2 linked regions of the Arabidopsis thaliana genome follow. The protein of the gene in region 2 purifies or fractionates together with the protein of the main gene of each other region. This does not show direct contact. Each region holds a gene or a part of one and is shown on either strand. Other genes may lie near its edges.

Region 1 (3,755 bases), on a different chromosome or scaffold from region 2:
GCTTAAACCAACAATAACAAGGAAAAATTTCGGATGATAGTAAGAACGAACCTTGATTCCAGATATCGTTCTCAATATCTCCATGGAAGGCATTTTAAGAAGATGAATTTGATTATCTGCACAAATCACCTGAAAATTCTTGATCTTAGTAGAGTTAATGAAACACTTCATTTGCTTTCTACGGTTGTTGTAAACGGAAAAACTCTTACAGAAGAAAGAGTTGAATCTGAAGAGAAGATGAAATACAACAAGGGAGATCCAATCTTTGGCAAAAGTTGCTTCTTCCCTGTACCTAGCTCCCAAACAACAAAATCACCTGCCTTTACCCCTAAAAGAGTCACAAGCAAAGGAAATATAGCATAAGAACTCAATATATATATATATAAGAAACATGAATTCCTTATCAACACACAGAGATACAGTCACTATGATGAAAAAATAACTCAGACTCACCAGAATACAAAAGTGCTCCATCTGAAGAGAAATTAAGGACGGTTACTTCAGCGCTGTGCCAGTTGAAAGTAGTGCAAGATTCAGTATCATCTTCAGTTTTCACTGAAGTAAATTCTCCAATACCATTATCCTTCCAAATTAACACTCTTCCTGTTACATCACCGGCTGCTAATATTCTCTGATTGGGATGGAAAGCAAAAACAGTAATCAACTCTGTATGATGTAATGTCGTCTCCTTTGGCATGAGGTGCTCTGATGCCACATTCCATATATGTATACTGCAGTTATGACAGACGCCGAAAAACTCTCCAGAGGGACTTAAAACAATAGGTTTTGGTTCTTCCATCTGCACATTAACAAAAATGATTATAGAATCAAACATGAGGCTAATCGAAAAATGGTTAATCCACAAATCTGACCTCTTTCAAAGTGTCTCCACTATGAAGAGGGTCTTGAGTGAGATCATATCTCCGGATTTGTCCAAACAAATCTTTGGACACACTTGAATAGTCCTCAACCGAAACATAAGCAATCACGGAATGTGACACTTGAGCTGGAATCATCACCTACAAAGTCCCAACAGACACTTAGAAAAGGGCAATTGAAAGTTATCAAATTTTTGTTTATAAGCTGCAAAGTATGGAACTTTAACAGACCAGAGAGTGAATTGGAAGGTGGGTATCAAATATCTTCAAAAGCTTCGGCGCAGAGAACTCCCAAATCCGAATTTTCCCATCGAGCGACGAAGTCCAACAGTAACTGACGGTTTCGTCGGAAGACGGATCAACAATCACAGACGTCACAGGCGCTGTATGATCCTCGAGTGAAGTAATCTTAAAAACACACACACGCATACGCTAATGAGAGAAGAAGATTAGAGGGAAACCCTAAAAGGAAGGATGCTCGAGTCGAGAGATAAAACCTTTAAGCCAGTGGCGACGCTGTAAACAGAGACGGTGTTGGCTGTGCATAAAAGAAGCTTCTTTGCGTCTTTCGAAAACGCCGGAGCGGAAGTAATGTTGTTTCTTCCGCCGCGAATCATTTTCCTTCAACTCACGGAGATTCTGAGAAGACGCAAACATCTTACTCGGCGATTAAAAATTAGATTTTGCGACGTTTTTCCGACGAAATATTACAATGTACCCAGTTTTCGAGGAAATTATGTCTGTGACCAAATTGCGACTAGTACTTAGTACTATATGCTTGTACTTGTAGTTTCACTTTCTTCGTAACACCTGGCTCTGTGATGACTCCTCTCATTCTCTTCCTCCATGTTTGGGTTTCGCTTCTTGGACTAGGCCTTGACCTTGTTGGGCCTCGGCCTGTTTGTTTATTTTTTCTGTTTTATCTTTAATAAAATGAGACGGCAAGAAAATAACTTACATAATTTTTCAAGATCTTAAGTATTTTGTATTTTCTTAATTTATGTGAAAAACCCTGTGGATAAACAAAATATAATGTATAGTCCAATAATTGGAAATTTTGTAGTTAACAAACTCACTTCGTTTTAACAAAATATGGATGGATGATTCAGAGGCATAGTATGCGACATTAACTGTATTACAATGGTCGACAATGACTTTGATTTTTGAGGTCGTCCAATAAATACTAAAATGTATGGGTATGATTTTAGGTTGACCAATAAACTTCGATATCCATCGTTAATTCCATGAATGTTTTAAAAAACTGAAGTTGCTTCTATTATATATAAGTTAATCTATTTTATAATTTTATTTTATGACAGTTTAGCTATAATTTCTTTTCAAAAACATTTATGTTCTTAATTTATCAATCTATCACTTTCCTCGTCAACATATTACTTTTTTTATAAATCTTTTGCATATGACTAGCTTATCGGAAAATCGTTCATATAGATAGCGACATAACTAAAATAAAATTAGAAAGATGATATTGTTTTGATATAGTGTTTGTTTGTCTTGTTTCAAAAGACTATGCAATCAACTAGTTGTGCGTCTTGTGGATCTAACAGTTTTAAAAATGTTTAGGGTCAATAGTTTAATCAGACTTGGAACGGTAGTTTATACCTTTAGATACAATATTATCTAAGGTTAATTTATGTCATGGAAAAGTTATATATAGACAAAATGTTCAAAAAATTTAGGATTTATTGTGAAAAAACGAGAAATGGTAGATGATTCATATACATATCAACTTATTCCAAAGTAAAAAGTTTAAGAAATAAGAAAAATAAAAATTGTAGCGTAACAAACATTGACATATGGCTCGTTGGAAACAAACTAAATGTAATAATTATAGTTGTTCATCAAACTATTCGCATACAACCATCATGAACGATGACTAAAAATGGGAGACAAAGTGGGACTTTTGTAAATCCTACGTTTAATGAATTAGAATGTTGAATTATTTTTTCAGATTTTTATACATATGAATTGTTGCTTTCAGTGTTCTCTTAACCAATGAAAGTAAAGATGCTCAAAGGCTAAATATAAAGAAGATAAATTTCATTTCTCTTGATTATTCTCTTTAGGGTTTAAGATTACATCATGTTTCCTTTCATAGGCATTATAATCTTAGTGACACTAGGGTTTTCACTGACACATGTCAGGTCTCTATTGATCCTAGACAGTCAAAACAGTTTTGTAAAACCACTCCTTCTTTTCCAGCACAGCTCCTTGTTTTTGTCCTTTGATCCAATCTTGATGTACTTTTGGTTTTGTCTTCTTTTGCAGGAGATGACCGTTGGAGCTGAGAGTTGTTTAGGGTCTGCGCTTGGGCCTGTTGTTTATTGGGCTTGAGGTTTGCTGCATTCTCAATTTGGCCCAATCTCAGAACCTTCTTGATAATGTCATCTGAAGAATTTACCTTTACAGATTCCTCTGCTTCGTGTCCGATCACAGCTCTGATCTGGTTCTTCTCTTCACCAATCCGAGTTGTTGTCTCAACACAAGATGCATTCTCTCTAATAGCCCCCCGCAAACTCGGCGTAGGTGGAACATCGACGCCTAGTTTGTAACGAAGATCGCAGAACGGCTTGATGGGGAGAGATTTGGTGAAGATGTCCGCGATCTGTTGATGACCAGGTATGTGCTTCACAATCAGAGCTCCAAGTGCTACTCTCTCTCGAACATAATGATAGTGTAGCTGAAAGTGTTTACTTCTTTTGTGGAAAGCTGGATTCGCAGAGAGATACACGGAGGAGAGATTGTCGCAATAGATTTCTGGAGTGTCAAGTAGAGGAATGCCCAATTCCTTGAGAACAGATCCTAACCAGGTTACCTCCGAGGCAGTGTCAGACAGAGTTCGATATTCAGCTTCGGTTG
Region 2 (3,755 bases):
CAGTTTTGTGGCAGGAATACCTGAAATCTTCGGTCCAATCCTCAGTCCAAAAGTTGTTGAGCAAGATACATTTTGCGAGTCTTAAAGAAAATAAGACTCATCATAACAATGCATAACCTAATAAATTTCCTAAACACTTGAACAATGGATAACCAAGTTTACCTTTAAAGTATTCTTCGTATATATGTAGACCTCAGCTTTTCAAACGCCTTTATTAGTTTAACGAGTTCTGCAAGACTAAACGTCTGACAAGAAATTTCAGTTGATGATAAATGAGTAATTAGCAACAGAGATAGGAATGTCATGGAGAATAAAGTCAGAGAAAATCACTGCCGCCAAAGTTCTAATAAGAAACCTATTGTACCCATAAAGAGAAGCAATATCATCTTTAAGCTGGTCAACATAATCAGACATGTGAACGCCTTCTACTATCTATAATTATATCCGACACTCATATTCAAGATTGGTAAAGACACTCATATTCAAGATTGGTAAAGAAGTTGATGTGAGCGTATCTCGTACAATTAAGTTGTATAAGATGCTATTATAATAACCGATTGTGACAAATCTACATTTTTTAATCCGAAATTCACTAAGATTAACAAGTACTAAGTTTAGAGTCTAATATAATAGCATTTTTCATCATAACACATGATACAAATCATACTTGAATATCAACTTGATGTACCCTTTGGTCATCATGTTATATTATAACAAATACAATGCATTTTATGCTTAGGCATCAAAATAAAAAGGCATACTTTAGAATTTATTTTTAGGCTTTTATTTTTTAAGAAAAATATTATAGGTCTTTTTTATAAATTCATTTTGTTAATCTTTATTTTCTCCATATATTGTGGTATTTAAAATTTTAGATTAATAAAAAAATTAATTAAATAATTTGTTAATGAATTTAGTTTAGTAAATTTTTGGTTTTTTTTAAAAAGTTAAACCTTAAATTTCTTGCAAAATGGAAGATATTCTAAGGTGTACATTGCTTAGATTTGGATTACAAAATTTTAAAAAAAAAGTTTGCTTAATTAATCAGATAAATCTGTTGGCTTTGCTGTCAAATGAGATAATTATGGTTAAAAACATAACCTCTCATTAATTGTTAAAGCCAAGCAAGTTTTACCTTTTGCAAAACACCAAAGCGTTGTATGTCAGCTTCTTCGTTAATGGACATTTTGATCGATCCAAATTCTGATATTAGCTGCATAGATAGAAGTTAGCATTTGAGTTAAAACCTGACAATTCAGTTAAAACATGACAGACGAGTTGAATTTTTACTCCAGTTCTAGTTGAAGGCGCATTCACCAACACCATATCCTTTGAGTTTATATGGAAAACCCTAGATAGCTGAACGGGAAGGAATAATAGAAAATTATTTCAGAACTTTTATTACCCTTAATATCATCAATAGTGAGGTTCAAGAAGCTAACCTTTGTATTGATATTGTAATTGGAAACAACTGTATTTGTAATCCCCATTCGATGGAGATTGGCATAAAGTGAACCAAGCAAGTGTTCAGTAGACGCATTAGCAAATATTATACCTTTTATTACCATAAAGCGCCCAGACAGATGTTCAGGAGTTTCCCCAATGGGAAGACTTTCAGGTTCATCTTCAATGACAAGTCCATGCTACAAGCAGTTTTGAAAGAATCAAGTACATGTATGTATGAACAACATAATACTTGTTGTGAATCTAGAGGAAGAAAATTTGCATACTTACCGTTGACCAGTTCTGTAGCAGGCATACGTGAAATCCTCGGTCCAAAAGCTGTTGAGAAAGATATATTCTCCGAGTCTTAAGCAAAAAAACAAAACTCATCATAAAAATGCATAATCTCAAAACTTTACTAAACAATTGAACAATGGATAACCAAATTTACCTTTAGAGTGTTCGTCCATATATATGTCGGCATCGGCTCCTCAAACGCCTTGATTAGTTTAAAGAGTTCTCCAGAGTCATATTCAAAATGCCTTGATTATGCGACGCCTTGATTATCCGACACTCATATTCAAGATTGGTAAAGAACTGAAAGTGAGCTTATCTCGTACAATTAAGTTGTATAAGATGCTATTGTAACAACCGGTTGTGACAAATCTACATTTATAATCCGGAATTCACTAAGATTGTCTTAACAAGTACTAAGTTTAGAGTCTAATATATAATAGCACTTTTCATCATAACACATGATACAAATCATACTTGAAAATCAACTTCATATATCCTTTGGTCATCGTGTTGCATTATAACAAATACAATGCATTTATGTATAATAAATCAAGCCCGACATTCCACACAATCAAGTGAAGTCATGGCTTAGGGCATCAAGGTAAAAAACATATTTTAGAATTCATTTTTTAGGCTTTTTATGTTTTAAAAGAAATATTATGTTTTCTTTACAAATTTATTTTTGTTGAGCTTTCTTTTCACCATACTTTATGGGATTCAAAATTTTAAATTAATTAAAAATTTCTTCAATCTTCTTTGGCTTCACAAAGCGTGTAAATAATAGTATAGCTCATTACCTCTCAACCTCTAATTGTATTCATGGAGATTTTTATTCTTAATCAGGTCGTCAACCACCTTGGTTACAAAAACTACTTTGTAAAATCTCAATTGGTTAATATAATTCAGTTTGCAGAAAAAAAAATTAATTAAAATTTTAATTAAATATATTATTAATGAATTTAGTTTAGTACAATTTTTCCTTTTAAAAAGTTAAACCTTAAATTGTTTGTAAAATGGAAAATATTGTAAGGTACATTGCTTAGTTGAATACAAAATAATAATAAAAACTTTGCTTGATTAATCAGGTAAATGTGTTGACTTTCTTTGTTTGATACCCTCATAACAACACCAAAATACTGGGATGGGCTTTTAATACGAGCCCATGAAGATAACAGTCACTTTTTTGTTTCTGTATGTGTAGAGGGAAAAAAAACACGTTACGTAGTCTCAATTTGGGAGAAAGAAACGACATACATGTTACATCTTTAAACGATAACAAGTCTATTTAGAACCACTAGTTGTGATTTGTGAAACTCTGAAGTAAAGAAGAAACCACAACAATGGCGTTGTTCTCCCCGCCAATCTCTTCTTCATCTCTTCAAAATCCCAATTTCATTCCCAAATTTTCATTCTCCCTCCTCTCCAGTAACCGCTTCTCTCTCCTCTCCGTCACTCGAGCTTCCTCCGACAGTGGATCAACCTCTCCCACCGCCGCCGTCTCCGTGGAGGCTCCTGAGCCCGTGGAAGTGATAGTTAAAGAGCCTCCGCAATCAACACCGGCGGTTAAAAAGGAAGAAACCGCCACCGCTAAAAATGTCGCCGTCGAAGGTGAAGAGATGAAAACAACGGAGAGTGTTGTCAAATTCCAGGATGCGAGATGGATTAATGGAACTTGGGATCTGAAACAGTTCGAGAAAGATGGAAAAACCGATTGGGATTCTGTAATCGTTGCTGGTTAGATTAGAATTAGATCCTCGTTAAGTTTTTTTGCTCTGTTACTTTGGTGAAAATTCGAAATTTGAATTTGATGTTTAATGTGTTTTGATTTGAAGAGGCAAAGAGAAGAAAATGGCTAGAAGAGAATCCAGAAACAACGAGTAACGACGAACCAGTGCTTTTCGATACATCGATTATTCCATGGTGGGCTTGGATTAAGAGATACCACTTACCTGAAGCTGAACTCTTAAATGGTATTTGTTTCCTCTCTCAAAAGATCAAACACATACACAAAGAAT

The links.
Region 1: the proteins of AT4G17590 (region 2) and AT3G26480 fractionate together in Arabidopsis thaliana (co-fractionation; one large-scale study listed by BioGRID). This does not show direct contact.

The regions. Positions count from the first base shown.
Region 1 is NC_003074.8:9,689,333-9,693,087, forward strand, and holds the start of AT3G26480 (Transducin family protein / WD-40 repeat family protein), read right to left. Parts: upstream 1,635-3,755; 5' UTR 1,496-1,634; coding exon 1,376-1,495; intron 1,287-1,375; coding exon 1,110-1,286; intron 1,020-1,109; coding exon 873-1,019; intron 800-872; coding exon 454-799; intron 329-453; coding exon 210-328; intron 130-209; coding exon 52-129; intron 1-51.
Region 2 is NC_003075.7:9,800,679-9,804,433, forward strand, and holds AT4G17590 (NOL1/NOP2/sun family protein), read right to left. Parts: upstream 1,914-3,755; coding exon 1,895-1,913; intron 1,810-1,894; coding exon 1,735-1,809; intron 1,625-1,734; coding exon 1,443-1,624; intron 1,360-1,442; coding exon 1,291-1,359; intron 1,214-1,290; coding exon 1,136-1,213; intron 433-1,135; coding exon 331-432; intron 246-330; coding exon 165-245; downstream 1-164. Other genes in the region: LIL3:1 (Chlorophyll A-B binding family protein), read left to right, coding at 3,081-3,474, 3,573-3,710.